Linked DNA regions of Alligator mississippiensis. The protein of the gene in region 2 purifies or fractionates together with the protein of the main gene of each other region. This does not show direct contact. Links are inferred from orthologs where the notes say so. Each region holds a gene or a part of one and is shown on either strand. Other genes may lie near its edges. The genes, in order: SMAD1, RUNX2 and UBTF.

The links.
Region 1: the proteins of RUNX2 (region 2) and SMAD1 purify together in Homo sapiens (affinity purification with western blotting; 3 studies listed by BioGRID). This does not show direct contact. The link is inferred for Alligator mississippiensis from reciprocal best matches to the Homo sapiens genes RUNX2 and SMAD1.
Region 3: the proteins of RUNX2 (region 2) and UBTF purify together in Homo sapiens (co-immunoprecipitation; 3 studies listed by BioGRID and IntAct, with this or other methods). This does not show direct contact. The link is inferred for Alligator mississippiensis from reciprocal best matches to the Homo sapiens genes RUNX2 and UBTF.

Annotation. Positions count from the first base shown.
Region 1 is NC_081825.1:101,105,015-101,112,669, reverse strand, and holds the start of SMAD1 (mothers against decapentaplegic homolog 1), read left to right. Parts: upstream 1-4,630; 5' UTR 4,631-4,824; exon of another isoform or gene 4,825-4,833; intron 4,834-4,997; exon of another isoform or gene 4,998-5,423; intron 5,424-6,528; exon of another isoform or gene 6,529-6,638; intron 6,639-7,655. UniProt on the Homo sapiens protein: Transcriptional modulator that plays a role in various cellular processes, including embryonic development, cell differentiation, and tissue homeostasis.
Region 2 is NC_081824.1:12,513,926-12,521,315, reverse strand, and holds the start of RUNX2 (runt-related transcription factor 2), read right to left. Parts: upstream 3,088-7,390; 5' UTR 3,009-3,087; intron 2,800-3,008; 5' UTR 2,736-2,799; coding exon 2,678-2,735; intron 1-2,677. UniProt on the Homo sapiens protein: Transcription factor involved in osteoblastic differentiation and skeletal morphogenesis. Essential for the maturation of osteoblasts and both intramembranous and endochondral ossification.
Region 3 is NC_081827.1:159,407,837-159,415,655, forward strand, and holds the start of UBTF (nucleolar transcription factor 1), read left to right. Parts: upstream 1-4,759; 5' UTR 4,760-4,850; intron 4,851-5,053; exon of another isoform or gene 5,054-5,143; intron 5,144-5,573; exon of another isoform or gene 5,574-5,663; intron 5,664-6,141; exon of another isoform or gene 6,142-6,225; intron 6,226-7,119; 5' UTR 7,120-7,202; coding exon 7,203-7,260; intron 7,261-7,819. UniProt on the Homo sapiens protein: Recognizes the ribosomal RNA gene promoter and activates transcription mediated by RNA polymerase I (Pol I) through cooperative interactions with the transcription factor SL1/TIF-IB complex.

The DNA.
Region 1 (7,655 bases), on a different chromosome or scaffold from region 2:
GCTTTTTTTTTTTTTTTTTTAGTATGGGAGCTGACCAAGTAACTTAAAATTCCCTCTTCTGCCACTGTGGTGGTATATTTGGTGTACTAATAGCATGCCTGCTTACCAAAGAGATGGCTGAAGTTTAGTTAGGAAGTTGCATGCTCTTGAGGCAGAGGTCCAGGGCTAGAAAACTTGACTGTTACTCCTATCTCTGCCACAGACTCCTTTTGTGACTTAGGGAGATTATTTTACAGGCATTTATGAATATTTTTATATATGTGAGTAAGTAAAATTTATTCCTGTAATTTATAAAGCCTTGGCTATTCTGTGCCTCTATCTCCCTTGTGTTTTAAAGCTAAGTTAATATCACACCTAATGCTTATATACACAGGGAAATTTATAGAATAACTCTAGAGGTATAAGTATCCCCATATAGCTATGCCAGAATATATCTTCATATAAACAACCCCTTTGTTTCTACCCCACATTTAGGTCCCCATTCATTCATTTCAGAATTGGAGCATGAGTTTAATAATATTTGTGATGCACTTACATGGTCAATAGAAAAATCCCTATAATTACTTATGCATGTAGACCCTCAAATCAGCTCCAACTCCAGCTTCTGGAGCATAATCTTGCAACCTAGATGGAGCTCCTTTGATTCATAACCATAGTATGGCAAGATTCCGTTCACACAAGTTTGATTGCATTAATAGGTTTAGTTCATTGATTCTCAGCCAAGGTGCCACAGCAACCTGGAATGCCTTGAGATCCTTTCAAGTGTACCACGCGGTGCCACACAATGTTAGCACTCTCTGGTGTACAAACACATTTCACAAAATAAACCCACAGATTTCAAATAATACTCCCTTCCTAAAAGCATTCTATCCTGTTGTGATCTTTGTGAGTTCTTTGCAACACAAGAATTGCTGTAGTGTTTTCTGTAGTCAAAAAATCAAGTGAAAACTAACATCTGGAACTTTTGAAGGGGTGCCTTGAGCCCTAAAAGGTTGAGAACCACTGAAGTAATAGGATTAATTTGCCTGAATCAGCAATATTTCCCTAAGGAATGCTTAGTTGGGTTGAAGTCCAAAACATCTTACATACATGGGGGGAGGGGTGGGGGCTGAAAAGTACTATATACAGCCAGACTAGTATGGCTAAGTACAGATGGTCAAGAAGCCAGAGACAGAATCAATTCAATCTTCATAGCTTAATCTAAGATGTGTAGATTAAACCAATAAGCAAGTGAACAGACATTCACTTTTGATTCTGGAAATGCAGCCACACGTCCTTGCAGTGCCCAAAGCCAGAAGTGGAGGGGGTGCTATAACAGACCTCCTTCCTTGGCTGAAGCAGACAGCTTGGGCCAAAGCTAGCCTGCCCACCAGGGGGGCAGGGAGGGAATGGGGGTTGTGGGAGAGGTGCAAAGCATCCTGGGATTCTGGGACACTAAACTTGAATCTGGAGGGGGATCTGAGACAGAAGTACATAAGTTCAATAAACTGATTGAACCTAAACCTGTTAAGTCTGATATTACATCCATCCAGGTTTATCTTAAACCAATTTCAGCCATTCTGAAAGTGATTTATGTACACTGAACTTCTGTTGTGTTACAGATTTGAACTGGTTTTCAATCACTTATACTGGTTTATGTGTAATTTCTGGCTCTCACCTATTCATTGATTAATACCAATTCAAACTGTTGAGTGAACATTGAAAATCATAGTTATTTTTCATGGTTTCATAGAGACTGAATACCCTGCACATGGTAGCTATGTGGTACATAGTTGGTATATGTTGATGCAATTTAGATCACATAGTGTGTTTAAAGCAGACACTGGCTACAGGCTAAGGGTAGCAAGGCAACAATAAGCAATGAGCCAAGCTGCTTTCTGTTCCTGGAATCCAAGAGTAGAGGTCATCTAGGGCCCTGCCACACATTCAAATTAAAGCTGAATAGAAACCAGCAATAGAGTTGTTTACACACTTTCAAGAACTAACTTTATAGCTGGTTGACTAATTTTACAGCTGCATAGTCAATTTTATGTGTGATAGTTACTTTGCAGGTGTGGCCAGTTTAAATTTATTGTGCAATTCACCAGTTAATACTTTGCACTTGTCAGGGTCTTACTTTGCATGTGTGACTAGTCTACGTTTATTGCAGGATTCACCAGTTAATTGTGTGGTAATTACTTTGCACCTGTGGCCCAACTCATTTACATGTGAGTAGTTCACATTTCATAGAATCATAGAAAAGTAGGGTTAGTCCAACCCCCTGCTCAAAGCAGGACTATCTCCAACTAGATTATCCCAGCCAAAGCTTTATCTAGCCAGGTCTTAAAAACCTTCAAGGATAGAGCTTCCACTGCCTCTCTGGGTAACTTGTTCCAGTGTTTTACTACCCTCCTAGCGAAAAAATTCTTCCTACTATCTAACCTAAACTTCCCTTGCTGCAACTTGAGACCATTGCTCCTTGTTCTGTCATCTGCCACCATTGAGAACAGTTCAGTTTAGCTTAGTTTAATTTAGTTTAGCTCCATCTTCTTTGTAAGTACTCCTACAGGTAATTGAAAGCTGCTACCAAATTCCCCCCTCCCCTCAAATCTGCTCTTCTCCAGACTAAATAAGCCTGGTTCCCTCACCCTCTCCTCATACATCATGTGCCCCAGCTCCCTCACCATTGTGTAGGTCGTCTCTGCTAAACTCCCTAATTGGCTTACATCCTTTCTGTAGTGGGAGGCACAAAAATGGACACAGTACTCAAGATGTGGCCTCAGTAGTGGTGAAAAAAGGGGCACAAGGTTCTTTGGGTAAATCTGATATCTTTTATTAGACCAACTACATAGTTGGAAAAATTATTCTTTACAGGCGTTTAGGCACAAACACCTTTCTTTAGGCATGAATAGAGGGGAAGAATCAGTTCCCTTGATCTGCTGGCAACACTCCTAATGCAGGCCGGTATGCTGTTAACTTTTTTCACGAGGGCACACTGCTCATTTACTGCAGGATTTACTGGTTAATTGTGTGTGTGTGTGTATGTGTTATTTTTTGCAGGGGGAATTCAATTTATTGTGCAATTCACCAGTTAATTGAATGGTAATTATTTTGTACCTCAGGCCTTCTTGCTTTGTATGTGTGGCTGGTCTACATTTATTTCAGGATTTAGTTAATTGTGTGGTAACCAGTTAACAGTAACCAGCAGTGTGTGGGATAATTCTTTTGCATATGTGGCAGGTTTAAATTTATTGCAGGATTCACCAGTTAATTGTGGGTAATTAGTTTGCACTTGTGGCCCATCTTGCTTTGCATGTGTGCCAGTCTACATTTCTTGTGGGACTTGCTGGTTAGTTGAACAGTAATTACTGGTACAATTGGTCTACATTTATTGCACAATTCATGAGTTAATTGTGTGGCAGTGCCCTTCAAATTGTGGCTCACTTGCTTTGTATGTGTGGCTGGTCTACATTTATTGCATGATTCAGTGAATTACTGGTAACCAGTTACCATTTAATGGTGTGATAGTTACTTTGCATGTGTGGCTGGCTTGCATTTATTGCACGATTCATTGGTTAACTGTGTTCATTACTGTGCAGGTGTCCCAGTCTACGCCTATTGTGGGACTCACTGTGTAGTCATTACTGTGCATGTGTGGGTAGTCTACATTTATATTATGCCAGTGAATTGCTGGTAACCAGTAACCAGTTAATTAGTAGTAATTTGCTTTGCAGCTGTAGCCAGTCAGCACTTTCTGTGATTTGCTGGTTAAGTGCGCTGTGGTGCCTTTGCTATTGGCTGCGACCTTGCAGCTACATTTATTGTGGGCTTCCCCAGAGAATGGCATGGCAATTACTTTGGTGGTACAATTGGTCTGCACTTATTGCATAATTCACCTGTTAATTGCATGGGAATTACTTTACACTTGTGGCTCTCTTGCTTGTCTCCATTTACTGAGTGATTCCATGAATTGCTGGTAACCGGTTACCAGTAATTCACTCCATCATGCAGTAAACATAAGACTAGCCACCCGTGCAAAGCAATTGCCACATAGTTAACCAGCGAATCTCACAACAAATGGTGTGGTCATTAATTTGCATGTGTGGGCACTCTACATAAGTCAACCAGTGACTCTTGAACTGTGGGAATTGTTTTGCGTGGGTGGCCAGTCTATGTTTATTACTTGATTCGGTGTATTGCTGGCTACCAGTAGCCAGTTAATGGTGTGGTCATTACTTTGCACTCTACATCAACTGGTTATATACTGAATCACACAATCAATATGGACTAGCCAACCGTGCAAAGCAGTTTCCACGTAGTTAACCAGTGAATCTTGCAAAAAACGTAGACTGCCCACACATGCAAAGTAATTCCCATACCATTATCCGATAACCAGTAATGCAATGCACTGAATCACACACTCAATACGGACTAGCCACCCATGCAGAGCGATTCCCAAGTAGTTCACCAGCGCCCCTCGCAAGACGTGTGCAGCCCGCCCGCGTTTATGGCGCGATCCCCCGCGCAACATCCGTAACGTGTGTCCGTCCGGAGCAGCGTCCCGCGGCCGGGAGCAGCCCCCGCCCCCGGCCCCGCCCCGGCCCCGCCCCAGGCAGGGAGGCTCCCTCGCGCCTTTCCTCGGCGGCGGCTGGAGCAGCCCTGCGGCTGTGCGGGCGGCGGGGGAAGCTGGCCCGGCCTCCCGGCGGCGGGGCGGGAGCTGGGAGCGGAGCCCTGAGCCGGCGGCGGCTGCTGTGCAGGGCCCGGGGCGGCTCCGGCTCCGTGACGCCGCCGCGCGCAGCTCGACCCGGGCGCGGAGGAGGCAGCAGCGCGGGGCGCCCCGTCCCGGTAACCGCGGTGCGTGCGCTGCTGCTGGGCGGGCTGTGGGTGGAGGGAGCGCAGCTACACTTCACCTGACCGCTTCGCCTCCTGCTCAACCCCGGCCATGCCGGGATACCTCTGCAAGGGCCCGCCGCCACCGCTCCGGGTTTCCGCCGAGCTGCCTTTGTTGGGAGGAGGCCCGGGAGCTGCCTCTCCTCCTCCTTTGGACGCCTCGCCTCTTGCCCTGGCCCCATTGTGGGGAAGTTGCGGGAGTTGTGGGCAGCGCCACTGCCCTCCTTTTGTTTTGATTTGGGGAGAAAAACCTTTCTCTCCTCTTTTCCCTCAGCTTAGTCCGTCTGGCCTGGAGGGGGGGGGTTGTCTCTTGCTTTTTCTCTTTCCTCCTTCATCTCTTTCCTTCCCCCCTCCACAAGGAATCTGTGCTCCGAGGTCAAGGCGAGTTCACTCACAAAATGCTTCTCCTTCAGCAGGGCTGGATGCAGAGGGGTTTTCTCTCCTTGGGATCTTTTATTTATTTTTTTTTTTCTTCTCTGCCTTTGATGTGCTGGTGCTTCACAAGATGATGAGACTTGCCAGCCCTTCATCTTCTCTCCCTGCCTCACCCTCAGGTTCTTATTCAAGTTTCTGGGCATGCAAGCGGTCAGTCATGCACTCTTGCCAGGGCAAATCCTGCTGGATTTAGCCATGCACGTGTATGCAAGATGAGGGGAGGCGATGGGAGGCTGGGGTTCAGTCAAGACTGCTGTATTCTGCCCTTTGATACTGGTTTATCATCTGCAGGCAATGTGTGGATTGGCTTTTGTAGCTTGCTTAACACCATACATGAGTGTTTTTTTGCTTAGATGTAGGCAGAGACTTTATTTAAGTTTATTTGGGGGGCGGGGGAGAATAGATGCTGTGCCTGAGAATGGGTGCAACTTGTGACAATCAAGTGCTCCCCCAACCCTTTAATTTTTAATTTCCCCCCCTCTTTTTTCTTCCCCTTGCTCCCCCCCCCTTTATCAACTAGAGCAATAACAAATAGAAAAGATCGCTGCTCAGCTTTACTCCTAGGCATGTGCTTAGTTTATTGGAGGATAATTCAGGGGATCTGACATCTTTAGAAAATTGCATTTTAAAGAGAGGCTGTGCTTCAAGCAGGTTGTGGCTTAAAATCTGGCAGCTCTGTCTTTCTTGATTTGCTCCTTCCTTGAGTGTAAAACCTAGCTGTATTGTGGGACTTCTGAATATCATATAGTGTAGGGCTCAAAAGAGGCTCACCAAGCTGCGGAGACGACTCTTCTGTACCTGTGTCTCTGATTATGGTAGTTTTTCATGTGGCCAAGTGCCTACACCTCACTGTACCAATGAATGAGAATCGTGTGAAGGAACTTGCTGTGTTACAATTGATTTTAGTCTCATCTATGGTGCGTTAAATTTATGGGAGGTTTGCTTCCAGTTAAAACTGACAGCATAAAAATAAATCCATCTGAGCTGGAGATCTGTGTAGGGCAGTTGGTATAAGATTCTCCATTCACAGCTGGCATAACAAATATTATGTACTTGGTGTTTTGTTTTGTTTTTTCTTGACTCCTCTACAGTAATTGATTTCAGGCTTTCTTTATGCTAAATGAAACTTAACCTATTTTGGAATTCTTGTGATGGTGCTCAGGCTCTAATCCTGCAATTCATCTTGCACTGTAACTAGGGGTTTGAGAGGGACTTCTCAGGACTTGGGTGATCCAGGAGCCTTCTACCGCCTCCAGAGAGGATTAGTTCAAGGAAGCTCAGGTTACCCTAAACGGATTTGTCCTTGCTTTAGTTTTCACTGTTTCTTCCACTAGGTATGTAATCAAATACATTTTCCCCCTCTCTCGTCTCCCTCTCTACTTGCCATTTTTATTGTACCCTTGAAGATCTGATGATCTCACGTATTTAAAAAAACTGACTGGATAAACTGAAGGTTGAGGTTCTCTAGTTTCTGTGTTAATATTAACTGTCAAATATTAACACAGAGCTGATAAATTACTAGCATTTGAATTCTGATTATGTAATCAGGGCATAGTGAATAACATAATGAGGTGATATCAAGGTTGCTAAAACTGATGCTGCTTCTTTTACTAACTAGTTTTTTATTATTTTTGTACTAAAATCTGAGTCAATAGGTGCATGTTAAAAACAAATGTAGAACTCAATTAAAAAAAAATCTGGAAACAGTTATATTTAACATAGAGTAGGCGGGTCTGTGAAGTCCAAGTTGTGTGCATATATAAAAGCTCTCACTTGTGTAGCCTTACAAGGCTAATGGAGGCATCATCTCAGCTTTATAAATAATGTAAGTTGTGTATAATGTGGAGTCCCCTGAGACTGCAGAAAAAGCATCATTACCAGCCTTTTCAACGTGCTGGAGATCTTAAATTGATTTACAGCACTGTACTGGTGCAAAATGAGACATCAGGATGACATGGGGTCAACCTGTAAAAGTCTGTGATGTGAGCCTATTAGTTCAGTCATCATAATTAAACCATATTATGAGGGCAGCAAAGCAAGCGTCTGTGGCATAGCCCATTATGCTTCAAATATGGGTGGTGCAGTAGTTAAATAAAGAAAGCAACATATGTACAGTTTGCAAGATACGAAGAGGATTTGAAACTGGCACTTACAGCCTGAAGAAGAGAAATGTGTGAATATGTGCAGCTTGATTGTTAACCTCTTTCTGCAATGGTTATTAGCTGAAATAATAGAATTGTATAAACAGCATGTATTTTGTGGGGGAATTTAACTAAATTGTATTAATCATTTTCTGACCTGAAAAAATGATCAGTCTCTTCAGAGTGGCTACATAGTCTAACAACAAAGTG
Region 2 (7,390 bases):
AAGGTCTTGTTTAATCCATGTCAACAAGAAGATTGCTAATAAACACACTTTTTATTAGTTACATACTATTTATTCCAAGCAGTTTAGTATTGATTCACTTTGAACAAAAGGCAAAATTATGAGAGCCTTAGCCTATTTGAATTGGTAGGCTTAAATTTAAAAAAACTGAAAGGAAGGCATATACAAATAGAACACACTCAAACTTGGATTCAGTTCAGAGCATACCTGTTGAGCAGAATTAGTCTAATGAGTACAGAACCTAGTGTTTAGATAATTCAGACTTAAAGGAATAAGACTGTATGCTCTTGAAGTTACAGAAGACCCCTCCCCGCATCAGGTGATATGAAAATTTGCAGAAATACCACAGGTTGAAACAGATTAGCAGGTACGTAATTCAGAGACGTGATTCATGCTGCAGTTCCAGTTGGAATAAATCGTGGAACAGAATTGGAAGAGATTAAATGCCAAACCTGACAGTACTTAAAATGATAATCTAATTGTGCATTCTCATAAGCAACTGCAAAAGTGCCTTAGTAGTTTGGAAACAATAAATGGATGAGTGATTTGGCTCTTTTTTTCTTTACAATAAAGCGTAAACATGAAAATAGGTATTTTCACAACTTTCAGGTATACTGATGACGTTGATATGAGAGAAATTTTGTTTTAGACATTCATTGTAGTTTGTTTCTAAGGATATATTTACATACCCTTCTTTTACACAGAATTCGGAAGAACTCATTGTCCCGGTTATAGCACTTTGCAGTAGGTTAAAGAATGACCAAAAGTAGACTAATTCAGCAGTCGGCACTGCATGTTATGATAATTTTAGCCAACTTACTTTCTTCTAATCTCTTTTGGAAGTAAAAGCAAAAGAAAGTCCCTATACATGTAAACTGTATTTCCTGTTGTAAACACTGGGATAATGTGGTCTGGCTACACTTCTGCTGTGCTTCATTAAGAGAGCAGTTTTAGTAGAAATGCTGCCTACAATTTAAAGACTATTTTTTGTATCCGCACTTCACTCCAGTTTTTCTGTGAGGTATAACTATTAGAGCAATTGTAGACAGTACTGAGATGTAGCATTTCCAGTGCCTATGTGCATTTTAAACGCAACAGTTCTCTGTTCCTTTAAAGCTTTTTCTTTATGTCTAATTGTGCTCATAGACTTAAACTACATTCATGTGCTTAGATAGGAGCCAGTTGCAATGCGTGAAGTAGGAGGGGTAAAAGGAACTCCAACCATCAGCTAGTTGCAATACAAGCTTAATCTATACTGAAAGCATATGTAGCATCTTTTTGACTAGGAAAAAAAGGGAGGAATAAAGGAAATAGGTTTAACTACAGCCCCATTATAGCTTCATCATGATGGACAGCATTAAGAAAATTTTGTAAGTTTTGAAAATGTTTTACTGTTCTTTCAGTTTGTTTTCTTCCTCTGTCTTAAATGACTCAGTGAGAAATCTTTCATATGTGTCTGACCACTGATCAAATGTGATCAGGGGTCAGCATTTTGCTATTGCCCTTTTAAACGAAAGTTTGAAAGCATTTAAGATTTTATACAAATCACTCAAAAGTTAGTCTCGTTCAGTTTTATATAGGGGTTCTCTATCTCAAAAGACATTGATGTATATTGAATCCAACAGCAGATCTGAGAAGAATAAAAGGTTTGGAGCTAAATGATGTTAGAAGTACAATGTGTGTACTCTCAGTAGGGTCATGCATGTAAATCTACATGGTACATGCATATGTGGAATGCTAATTCATAATTGCATGATTTTATGAAGGTGTTTTAAGACATCTGTGTTTACAGATCTGAATATTTAATCCAATATTTGGCAACATACCATTATATAAAGTAGCTTTAAAAATGCTAATTTCATCCACTTTTTTGAAACTTCAGGTTTTTTGGTGGCTTTTTTTTTAATGCAGAAACTGCTCTTTGCTTAGTCTTGACTTAAGTATGGTTAGAAAAACTGTATCGGAGCATTGATGCATTGTAAACCATGCCTTGCTGTGAAAAAGTGGAAACATTAACAGATTGTTGGTCTAACAGATTCCTGTTAGCATATTACTAGATGAAGTTTAATTTGAGACATCTAGGACAATTGCTAGGGCAGTGATGTGCAGGAAAGGATTTCAGATGCTATATTTTATCTAGGCAGACAAGGTTCTTTGGTTGAATCTGATATTTTACTAACTTTTTTTCAGATACAGAGAACTGGCTGTTAAATCATGTAACTTACTTCTGTTTCAGTAATTTGATTACCCAGTCATGTTATAACTGTATAGAAATGTCCCATTTTATTCCTAGTTTCTTCACCTTGTATTGTAAGATGTGGTTGATTCTATTAATTTAATACTTTAGCTTTTTACCTAGTTCAAAGCAGCATCGTACGTCTCCAAGTACATGTCGCAGTACACATGGAGTCAGATAGGTGACAGATGAGCACACCTGCTGTCAAATGCCAAGGTATAAGCTGGTGATTTCATGTTGCCTAGCTTTTCAGTTAACAGTGTCGTTCTTAATATGCACGTATTACTTACAGTAACGTTTTTTTTTCACCTGACTAAATCTCCCATCTTCAAACCATAATATATCATTCAACAAGTTTGTTTTTCTGTTGTGACAATGCCCAGTGCTTACTCAGAAAATTTAAAAACGGATTGTGGTACTTACCCCAAAAGAAGTTTTGCTGACATGGTGTCACTGAGCTGAACAGACTGTTTGATGCCATAGTCCCCCTCTCTTTTCACACAGAACTTGTACCTTCTGATGTAAGTGCTGCTTGGAGCCTTAAACTGCAAACACAAACCATAGCCAAACCTTCCTTTAGTTTTACAGAGTGCTTGGAGTGCATAGACTCCTATATTTGTTTTTTTCTGTCAAAAAATTGTGAAGCGCTGGTAACATGTGAAAAGCAAGGAAACAAAACAAAAAAAAAAAGAGAATGAGCAAATATTTGAAGGACCTACTATTACTGCATAGACTGTGGTTAGACAGCACTTACTGACTCTGTTGGTCTCAGTGGCTGGTAGTGACCTGCGGAGATTAACCATTTAAAAACCAGAGGCTTCTTGCTGTCCTCCTGGAGAAAGTTTGCACCGCACTTGTGGTTCTGTGGTTGTTTGTGAGGCGAATGAAGCATTCACACAATCCAAAAAAGCAAAAGCTTTAAAACTCCTTTTTTTGCAAGCACTGTTACTGGAGAGACAGAATCATGTGGTTTGTGACATCAGAGTACTCAAAGTAAAGTGGGACTGCCTACCACTGTGGCTTTTTCTTTCTTTCTATTTTTTTTTTTTTTATTTTGACAAAAGGCCCGTGGTAAGGCCCTTCCTGGCATCCAGAAGGATATAGCTTTTTAATTTTTGTGACTCATGAGGATTTGGAGGGAGTACAAAATGTGAAAGAGCCCAAACTCCTGTACAGTTAAAGCATATGGACAGCAGAACTTTATTTGTACTCTCACTTCAGGTTTTCCCCCCTCTTTTTTTTTTTTTCTTCCCCCCCCCCCCCGTCCTGTCTCTAGCTTATTATTGTGTCTGTGGCAAAGTGAGCAAAATTGGCGCAAGTGGCTGTGTGAAATTCTGAACAACAGTGATGATTTACAATAATTTACATCTTTGGATTGTATCACGATCTTGGGTCTGCTTCATATTTGCTGGGTGGCTGGATTCCTTCTGTTTTACTTTTTCTTCTTGTCTTCTTATACTTGTGAATCTGTAACTCATTGTAAGAAATTTTACCTTTCGTAAGGTCTAGTAGCAGCTTGTTGGGGCTGTTTTGTACTGTAATTGGCTGTCATAGAAGTGTTAGTCTCGGGATTCCTTTACAAATTTTAAATCATGTCTGTCTTGCTTACATGTATTCAAGACTAGCTGGCAGTTTTATATAATGACATTTAAGTGTAATTATATACCTTTTGTATATTGTACAGAGTGTCATTTGGATGCTGTAAATTATTTGGGTACTGCTTTATACATTGTGCTTTTAGAATAAAAACTGTTGTAGGGATTTAATATGGACGCTTAACATAATGAATTGTATGGATTGTGGGATTTTGATTGCACTTACATTAATTGTTTCTTATAATTTTAATGTTACAGAGGAACAGCATAGACTTTAGACTTTTTGGGACACTGTAAATAACTTTATTCAGCAGTTACTGTTAACATCTATTTTAAAGATGAAGCATAAATTTGATGCATATGTTGGATTTGAACACTTATATCAGGTTTGTGTGTGCATTCACAATATTATCACATATTTAACTTTGACTTTGTGTAGCATAAACTTTTTACTATACCAGTACAGAATGGGTTAACAGCAGCAGTATTTTTTTGTGTTTATAATAGAGGCTTTGAAATAAATTGCAAAATGCTGTGCATAGTAAGGAATAATATGCACAGACAGTGTGTATTAGTAGTCTTGATTTGCTCACTCAGATTCAGAACAAAATTGGAAACATCTTTGGGAAACTGTCTTATTTTTGCCCCTTTGGACATTTATATGTAGAACTCATTTTCTTGTTAGCATGATTGTATACCTTGGGCACTGCATTTTATAGTTTCATCAGAGTGTAGGATTTTTGGTATATGCGGGGAAGGGATAGAAGCATGGCAGTAAAAGAAAGTTGCTAAGGATTTTCAGCCTGTATTTGTATCACTTCTGATGTCTATATCCCTGGCAACTAACCTCCCTCTTGCTTCCCCATTCTTCCTACCCCTACTTCCCGAATAAGAAAATGACCAGAAGTGGTGTGAAACTAATAAATGGAAAAGTGGGTGGAGACCGGGTTTGCCTTTTGTTCCTTTTTTTTTCCCCTTTTGGTGGATGGAGGTGAGGAAATGGGAAAGGGGAATTTTCAATTAAAATCACAACTTGTGAAAGTTTTCTTTTTTGGAGGGCTGATATGTATCAGAAAAACATAAAATAATTTTGTTTATCAACGTCTCTGTCATAATGCCTATTACAATGTATACTGTGCTTGTATTTTGGAACATTTTCAGTTCTTAAAAGTTGCCACATTTCCAGAATTCTTCTTAAAATTAGGAGTTATACAGTGAACTGTCATGTAAAAAAGTAAAAACCATTATTTAACTTGTCCCTTTTGAAGATGCATTTCTTGTACCTCTAAATGTTATATTATGGTACGACCATCACTGGAAACAAAAAAGGTAAGGTGGTAAAAATGATTGACTTTACTGGCAATTGTATCATAAAAACAAAGTATATTTGTTTAGGTTAGAAGTTTAATTAACTTTTAATGTAATAAAAGCATTTAGAGGGCATTTCCCTATAATTTGTTGAATTTCAGTTCACAGAATTTGTACAAAGTGCAGACTTCTGCAAATTCAGTAACACATTGAAAATGTTTATCAGTTTGCATATTATGGTAATGAAAATTAATTTTCTTATAACTAAAATGTTGCCGGCAGACTAATTTTTTTTCATTCATTGAAAACCATCCTTTATAATTTTAAAACCGAAGAAGTTTATTACTAGTCAGTTCTTCAGTGTCTGAAAAGAAACTTGCCACAGAGGTGTTGTATCTTTCTTTTTTAACTTCTGTAAATTGAAATAATGTCTTTAATTCTTCAAGATAGCTGGGGCTTTTTGTTTGTTTGTCTGTTTCATTCTTTCACTGATATATTTGTAAGGTTATTTACCAATGTTCCCTTTTAATATGTTATCTGCGAGGTATAATTTTTTGAGTAGCACCATGGAGCTTTTTCAACTTAGATTTTAAGATTTAAATCACTAAAATAAATTTTCTATTTAGCATGGTAAAGTTTACCAAACAATATAAAAACTTGTTCCAGTGTCTGGTTGGAGTGTAGTTCTTAAACATGTTTTCTCTATTAATTTGGAATTTAAATATTTCTTGGCATTGGAAATGTTTCCTTTTTAGTGGGTATAGTGTGGTGGGGGGAGGAGGTTTCAAGCAAAATTGTGTTTCAACTCAATACCTGGCAACCCCTTTCTTCAAAAATAGTTTGCACTTTTAGTGCAATGAAGAAGAAATCTGAATTTTGAAAAGCTGTTGTGTAAACAAGTCTCTTGATTGCAGTCATACATTTGACAGTCTTTTGTTTAAATGGCAGAACTAAAAAAAAAAAAAAATCAAAGTTAACTTAAAAAAAATCCACAGGGGATACTTTAAGTCACTGATACAATTACACTTACAAAAGGAGTATCAAGTTAAAGAATTTGCTTTGTAAATTATGGACTAGTTCTTTGATGACAAATTAAATCTCATTTTGAAATTAAAATCAATTGTAATACAAACCTAATGCCATCGTATCCTTTATCTTTTTGGAAATTTGTTTTGAAAACCTTTAAAGATTTGCTTTATCTTATTTCCAAACATTTTGCTTTTTGTCGCTCATACTTTTTATACAGCAAATAAACAGTACGATTCACTGGGGAAAGTTTATTTGTACTTAAATTTGTTTTGATGCTATGGTTAGAGGGGTTTAAAAATTCTACTTACTCTGGTAGGATGATGGTCTTGCAACTAAGTGTAATTTATTCAACGAGTAGATGATAGTTTAATAGTTTTCCACACAAAGTGACATAGATAATACCCTTTATTACTACTTCAGATGCTTCAACTCGACAGATTTTATTCCTTAGATCCGTATCTATTGGTGCTACATTTTTCTGTATCTGAACCAACCCGTGTGCTTGGTTTCAGCATCTCACAATCAGAAGCCATTCTCACCCTCCATTATAGTTTTCTTAGTGGTGTTGGAATTTACTTTTTGGTAGTTCTTACTAAATTGATGTAGACTTATTCTGTCCTAATGTGTATAATTGTAGTATTTTCATATTTTGTGGATGGGCTGTGTAGACTGGGATTTTTCACTTCCAGCATCTTTATAGTTGCTTAATACAGCCTGAATGTTAATATAAAAGATTTTTCCTTCTCTTTAATGGAATGTGAAAGTACCTATTAATAAAATAACATCCAGTAAAAATACTCTTACAAGTTAGGTTTTTTTTCCTAATGCCACTTTTTAAAAATACTGACTCTTGTCAGAGGTTTTTTTGGGCATCTGCAGGATAAATGAGGGATATTCAAATGAATGACAAATGTATCCACTTTGATGCTCCTCTTTGCGTCTTATTCTCCCTTGACTTCCATGCACTAATTTAACAAGAAAGATATGAAGCTGCTTGATTGATTTAGAAATCACAGATTGTGGGGGAAAAAAGTAGCTTTTTCTTCCCAGGTTAAGCAAATATTTGGTTGTCTGCCCCCTTTTCATTGAACTCATACTGTTAAAGATCAGTTTAAATCTGAACAGAAAACCACTATGACAGATTAAGATGACAGTAAGCCTTTGTTAATCAGTGATACATTTATTTAGTAGTAAGTAACATAAT
Region 3 (7,819 bases), on a different chromosome or scaffold from region 2:
CTGAAATGCCAATTACTGAGGTTTGCTATTAAAGTTTTGAAGCTGGCCTACATATCCTATACAAGGAGGTGGTATTCCTGCCAACAGCGACTGACAGCAAGCGATGCTGTGAATTGTTTTACACCCCAGTCCTGTAAACACGTATGTATGTACCTATGAGTAAGTTTCTCCACCTGACTAGCTTCAGCAAACATAGGGGTTCTGCTCACAGTTATTGATGTGCATAAGTGTTTGCAGGCTCACAGCCTTGGACACCTGAGTTTTGTTTCTGATGCTGTAACTCCGTTCAAATGGATAGACCCTTGCATCCTCAACAAGCTCCTAGAAGAAGCAGCTGAACTCCGCTTCAGTGCAGGACACCAGCTGCACAAATCAGGTCACAGCAGCAGGGCTTTTGATTACAACTTTGGGGGAATAATACAGCCTTTGGGCAACTTGATTTGTGTACAAATGGATGTTTCATAACTGGTAGCGTAGGCCAGTCTGGACTGATCAGCTGAGAATCATATGTTGGGTACAAAATGTATTGCTGTTAGTATTTATATTATGAGAGAACTGGAGACCCAAGCTTAGCATAGGTAGCTATTGGGCTATGTACCACATAAATGCCCCCAAAAGCTCATGTTCCCAATAGAGAAAAGCCCAAGCAAGAATGGGGCACAGGGCTTGGAAGGAGGAAATGGAACAGAAGTGACTTGCTCAGGTCTGCACAGGAGGGAAAGTGGCAATCAGAAGAAGGACATGGACACTGCACTGCAACTAGAGTCAGGACACCCATTAGGACATGTTGCTTTCATTCACCAAAACCTTTTAAGAAGAGTGGAAACATTTCACAGACTGCAGTTATGCCAATATCCATGCTATTCCAGTGGCCAGAAACATCAAATCTACTCAAAACAAAGGCACGAGTACAAAAGGTAGAGTGTCTTGCACTTTGCCATGTGTCAGCTTTTCTGAACCTTTTTTTTCCTCAAAGGTTACACACAAGAAAAGAGATTTGTATCTGAAGCTGTCGACAATTCTTTCAAGGCAGGGACCAACTTTGTGTTGCTTGTACAGCAGTGAGTACACTGGGGCCTGGAACTGCTAGGTATTATTGTAGTAGTATACAAAACATTTTATATATTAATGAATTTTGTAAATAGTGAATATTTAATAGCAGTAATTGATAAGTTTTACTACTACTATTAGAATTATTAATATCTGCCCATCAGTGTAGATTCATCCCTTGGTCTTCCCCATAACGACAGCCCTGACACTCATAAAGAGCTTCACATTCTCAAAGCAGTGCATGAATGTTAATTAATTTATATGAGGAGGGAAGAGTTTGTATTCCCCTGAAGGAAGAAACATTGTCTCAGTAATCAGGTACCAAGTACTGGTAATTTACTCCTCTCTATAGGTGACTGTAATGTAAGGATGGGGACATGGGCAGTCTTGTGGAGGGTGGGGTCAGCCAAGTACCTGAGCCAGTAGAATCCAGATCCACAGTCTAGGCCAAGGGAGTCAAAAGCAGATAATCAAAGTCACATTTCTAATCCCAAATTATATCCATGTTCATAGTCCAAGTCAGGCCAAAGGTCAGGAACTGGAGAGTCCAAACAGAGGACAGGATAGGTTAATATGAATGCTCCAAGCTAGAGCAAGGCTGAGTTATTACAGTGTGGAACATACTGAGTAGGCTAAGGCCTGGGTTTTTATACTCAGCCTAGCTGGCTCTGCAACCAGTCAGCTTGTCGCTTGCACCTGATGCTGCTCTGCAGCTAGGTGAGACTATTTATACAGCAATCTGCCCTCTAACTGTAACCAGGAAGAGGATAATGACACTAAGGAGTTTCTAGGGTGATGTCACTTAAGAACTAGGTCTTAGCCCCACTCTCACCCAGACTCTGGCACCAGTGGATTTATACACGATGTGTAAATAAAAAAAAAAGGCTTTGGTCCTCATCTGTTCATGAGCTCTGTACTGGTAGATCCTTAATACCAGCATGAAGCTCAATGGAGGTGGGGGGATTTGGGTATGGCTGCTCTAATTCTAGCCCTGGTGGTCCCTGATGGAATTGTTACACATTATACATGGGCTACACAGCTCTATTCACCCCATTTCATACCTGACAGCACAATGGTTGAAATGAGTGCAAAAATGCAAATTAAATGCAAAGAGCTTTATAAGTAGTGGGGGCTATAATGGCATATTCATGCACCACCTTTACTTGTGGCCCTCCATCACAAAACCTCTATAAAGTAAGCACCGCTGAAAGGAAGCTGCATCTGGAGTGGAGTATAATAGCCAAACTGATCACAATAGCCAAACACTGTTATGCAGCAGCAGCAACAGGAGGAAAATTTTGACCGAGGATATTGTGGGGAATCCCAGAGCTTTACTGAAATGTCTCAGCAATTGGCTGGCATTCCTTTTGCTAGCAAAAATTGTACTCTCACATTTTCAGGCCTGCCATGCTCTGATGCAAATCTGGTAGTTAGAGATGCATTTTTCTAGAAGTGGGCTAGACTTTTCCATCAGAACATTTTTTGTTGCTATAAAATGTTAATTTGTTGAAAGCTGTTTGCAAAAAAAAAAAAAAAAGAGTCCCTTTTTCTGAACTAAGAATAAAAAACCCACACCAAAAAATAACAAACCAAACCAAATCCATGTAGTAAATATGTCTACATTGTCAAAATGAGATATTTTTCCAAGCAAAACAGTTAATCTTTTTTCTGGTTTGAAATGATGTTAATGTAGCTATTTTAATTAATATAGATTTTTTTAAAAAGATTTAAAGATGAAAATACTGAAACTTATGAACTGACACAATTTGAGTTATTTTCCAGATTAATCATTTAAAAATATCTTCCAAAATTTGACTTTCCATCACACATTGGGACAAGAAAATACTTTGAAATCTCTTGTGGGATAGGCAAACCACTTCTCACCAACCTCTAATATCTATTAAAATGTGCACTTGCAACCTTTAATTATAGGCCTTAAAAAATACAGGCCCATTTGCCTGTACGTGAATTGCTTGGATTAAAAAAAAAAATGATCTGGCCTTTTCTATGCAAACTGCACAAACCTTCAATTTGTAAGGCTTAATCCAAGAGGATTGCTATTTTTTTTCCACCAAAACAGAGTAGCTCCTGGGTGAGCCACCATTTAGCACACCTCAACAGCACAACATGAGAGCAGGAAATGAAACATTCAGGAATCCTATGACAAGTATATAATTCCAAGGGGTTGTGGGGGGAGGGGGGGGTCTCTCTAAAAGCATGGTTTCCTAACATCCTGGGTAGGATTGATTCTAAAATAGGTTCTCCCTAGTCACTAGCTCTTTAAATTAATCATCATAAATGGACAAAACAGTAGTACATTTAGCAGGACCATCTGATACACCGTTCCATTTTCCATATATAATGTGTGTGTACTTATGTAAATAAAATATATATAAAACCGTGTGTGCATAAATCTGTGTGCATATACATATGTGTGTGTACACGCACACACTATCCTCTCTATATAAAGATCCCTCGTGGCTGATGCATATCCAATGCAACAGGACACAACAGCAATTGCAGGAGAGAAGAATCCTTGCACTGGTAAAGAAACGGAAGCCATGCACCCCCTCCTCTCAATCTGCGGATTTTAGATTAGGTCGTCGTTCCGTCCTCCCCCCCCCCCCCAACAGCTCATAACACCTAATTGCATTTTTTTTGTCTGTAGGAGCGGTTTGCTTATTGGGATTGCCATTAATTTGACAGGCAGAGCTCAGGCAGGGGATTGGCTAGCAGCAGATGACGCCCATAACAACAAAGGTGGAGTTGGAGAAATTACATTAAAAAAATTAAGAGAGAGAGAGAGAGAAGGAGAGAGGAAAAAAAGGAGAGGAAAACTCTCCCCTTCCCCGCCCCTCTGGCTGTGAAATGTACCAGTGTGTCAATTTCACGGTCTCGTTAAGAAAGCCCAGTGTGCCACGCAGCCCGGAGACGAGTGTGATCGCACTTCAGTCTGTACGTGCATTTCCTGGTGCAAGAGACACACAACAAAACTCCCCCTTATTTTTTTTTTGTCTTCTTCCCTGTGCGCTTGTTTACAAGGCAGCCACTTGCAGTGTAAGTTCTGCTTCTCCCCGTGCGCTGGTGCCAGAGCTTGGCCCGGGCCTCGGAACTTCGCAGGGAAAACCCGAATGCTCTCTTCTTTCCGTGCTAGGTGGGACTTGGAAAAAAACCCAAACCTTTTTATCTTTTTATGCTTTTTTTCCGGCCATGCATTTGAAATTAAAGCGAAGGGGACTGTTGGTGGCTCATGTGCCTGCTGCCAACGCCAGAAGAGGACTGTTGGAAGTGTCAGAAGAGGATTGTTGCTAATGTAAGATTTTTTTTTCCTCCTGTCTCTCTCTCTCTCTCTGCCTCGCTCTCTCTCTCTCCCTTTTCCCTCCTCCTTTCTTTTGGCTGGTGTTGCAAAAGCAAAGAGCAATAAAAAACACACACACACACACGCACATAGAGAGAGGCAGAGACACAGAGAGCCCCGTTAAGAGCCAGAAGAGAGAGTTTAAAAGAAGAGAGGAGAAGCCTGTCCCTAACAATCCCGCTTAGGGAGCAGATGGAAAAGTGGAGACTTGTGAAGGGCTGTGAGGTTGGCTAAGGATCCAGGAGCGAAAAGAGCCCGGCTGATTGGAAGAAAAAAGCAGAGAGATGGAGGCGGGGGAAGTGCAATCTCTCTGCGGGGACTGGAGCGAGTCCACGCCCGGGGCCAGCGCTGCAGAGCTGGCCAGCATTCAACCAGCGCTCCCCAGCTAAAGCACCCAAAAAGGCAGCCCCCGAGCCCCTGCTCCAGCCCGGGTGGTTTGCAGGTACGTGCCGTGGAGAAGCCAAGCCCCCTCCGACCTCCAGCAGCCAACGCGCCCGATGCAGCCCCCCGTTGCAAGGGAGGGTGGGTGGGAGAGAAGGATCAGGGGGAGGGGGGAGAAGGCACGATCCGAAGCGACGCTTGCTGCACCGGGCTGCTTTGCTGCAGCAGGAGCGCATGTGGAGCTCGCCATTACCCGCCGCTCTGGTTCGCCATCTGGGGCTGGAGGAGGCGCTTTGTTTCCTCCCCGGCGGGCTCCGGCGGCTGCTGCTCTCTCCAGCTCGCAGCCGCTGCTCGGTAAGGCGGGGACCGGGGCCGGCTGCAAGCGGGGGGACCGGGGCTGCGGCCGCGCGGGGGATCGAGCCGGATCCCCGCGCGCTGCGCGGCCCGGCGGGGAGGATCGGATCTGATCGGATCAGGTCGGATCGCCGTGGAGGTGGCGGCGATCGCGGCCGGACCCTGCGGCGGGAAATGGAGCGGGAGCAGGGGCCGGGCGGGGGAGCGGGAGCCGCGGCGGCAGCAGCAGCAGCAGGCGCCCAGCGCCGCAGCCCGGCGGTGCCTCCGCCTGCGGGGGGCCCGGCGCCGCACGGGGGCTCGGCGAGGGGGGAGAGCGCGAGGGCGAGGCGGCTGCTCGGCCTCCGCGCTGCCCCCTCCCTCCCTCCGCCCGCCTTCCCCGGCGGCTGCAGCTGGCTGTCGGGGGCAGGCTTCCAGCGCTGGGCGGTCGGTTGTTTTTCCCGAGCCTGCTAGTTCCGCGCCGGAGCTGCTGAGGTCGCCATCCCCGCCCGCCCGCCCGGCTCCTCGCCGCCGCCATCCGGAGGTGCGTGCCCGGGCGCGTCCCTGCCCTGCCCTGGCTGCGGCGCTGGGGTGGGGGGGGGCCGCGGCGCCGCTCCCCGGGGCCGGCGCGGGGAGGACGCGCTGCCCGGCCCCGAGCGGGGCCGCGGCGGCTCATAGCCCGGGCGGGGCCGCGGCGGGGCTCCGGCGCCTCGGCCGCGCCAGCCATTGTTCGCCCGCGCGGCGCGGCGCGAGTCCCGGCCCCAGCCCGGAGCCGCGGCGGCCCCATTGTCCCCGGCCGGGCCGCGGGAGGGCGCGGGGGAGGCGGCCCCGCGCCGCTGTCTCCGGCGGGCACCGAGCCGCGCGGCTGAGGCGGCGCCTGTCCCCGCTGGCGGCCGGGGGAGGGAGCGGGCGAGGCGGGAGCGGGGAGCCAGCAGGGGCGGGCGGGAGGAGAGAGAGAGAGAGAGAGAGAGAGAGGGAGGGCGGGAGGGAAGGGGCCGCCCGCAGCCGGCGCCGAGGCGGCGGAGTCAGCTCAGCTCGGCGCAGCGCAGCCCTGCCCTGCCCTGCTGAGCCGCGCCCGCCCGCCCGCAGCTGCCGCGCGCCCTGCGGTGAGAGCCGGGGCCGGGCGGAGCGGGGGCCGCAGCTCCCCGGGGGCGGGCGCGGAGCGGAGCGGGGGGCGCTGCCGGAGCTGCGGCGGAGGCCGGGCGCGGCGCGGCGCGGAGAGGAGGCCGCCTCGTCGGCCCGCAGGGGGTGGGGGAGGGCGGCGCAGCTGCCGGAGCCGTCGGTCCCAGCCGGGTGCTGCTGCCTGGAAGAGGAGGAGGAGACTGGCGCCGGCCGCAACTGCATTTGGGCAGGGGCTGCGCAGGGCATGTGGGGATCCGGCCCGCCCGCGGCCCTGCCCCCTCCCCCGGCCCGCGGGGATCCCTCCTCCCGCCCCCCCGCCGTGCCGCCCCCCCGCGCCGCGGTCCCTCCCCCGCCGCGCGGGACCCCCCCGCGGGCCCGCCCCCCCGCCCGGGATCCCGCCCCCCCGCGCGCGCCTCCCTTGGCTCCCCCCTGCCGGCCCGGCCCGGCCCCGCAACGGCGCTGCAGGCCCTACCTGCTGCTGCATGGGGGCGCCCCGCCGCCCCCCACCCCGCCGGCCTGGCCCCGGGGCAGGGGCGGGACCCCGCGGGCGCTCAGGTGTGCCCGGCCGAGACTGGGGGCGGGGGAGGAGCCTGGGGGGGGTGCCTCCCAGGAGGTGGCTTTTCCTACCTCCTGGCGTGGCTGGGCTCTTCCACTGCTCTCCCTCGGGGGCTACCGCCTCGACCCGGCCCCCGGGAGCCACCCTCCACTCACTCACCAGCAGGTGAAGGGGTGCTGTGCGCTCCAGCTCTTCCCTTTTGACTGGGAAAGGCTTCCTCTTGGAGTTGGGCAAGGGGTTTCAGTTCCCTTGACTATGCCTCTTCCAAGCAGAGGGGCTTTTTGCAAGCCATTTATAGCTCGGGTTTCCCTTTGCCTTTTAGAGTGAAGCTTACTTGATTTAAGGTAGACTCGGAAGGAGCCAGGAGGCCCAGAAGGGACTGCCCTTGGGTCAGACAGGTGGAGAATGAACGGAGAAGCGGAGTGCCCTACGGACTTGGAAATGACAGCTCCCAAAAATCAAGGTGAGAGTAGCCCCGCTGCCCAAGGATGCCTGGCTCTCCCCCAGCTATGCAAGGGACCCGGGTGCTGAGATCCCTTTACACCTCCCTTCCAGCTGTCTCTGGAAGACTCGCCCAGTTTTGTGCCCGTGAGCAGTTCCAGTTGGACGCTCCCGTGTGTGAAATCAAGCACTTGCATAACCGCCTGGGGGAAGGGGCTGCGAGAGCAGCGTCACCCATTCCTAGCATGCTTAGAAATTAGCAGGACACCTTCAGTTTGGGTTTAAGAGCCTGCCCAGTACGTTGACCAGATCCTGTTACGGATTTGGTCTTTACACCATTCTTTCTCCTAGCCCTTTCACGGGAATGCTGGAAAACATTGTTTCATGCTTCATATTGGCCCCTGAAAGCAAGTGATAAACCTAATAATATGCCACCCCACACTCGTTTGGTCGAGCTGCAGACATGGCAACAAGCCTGGCTGAATCAAACGGCCAGTGAGATGCTTTTAAAAAAAAAAAAGGACTAACTTTTATTGGCCTGTTTAATTTGTACATTGATGCCAATCTGGAACAGGGGGGAC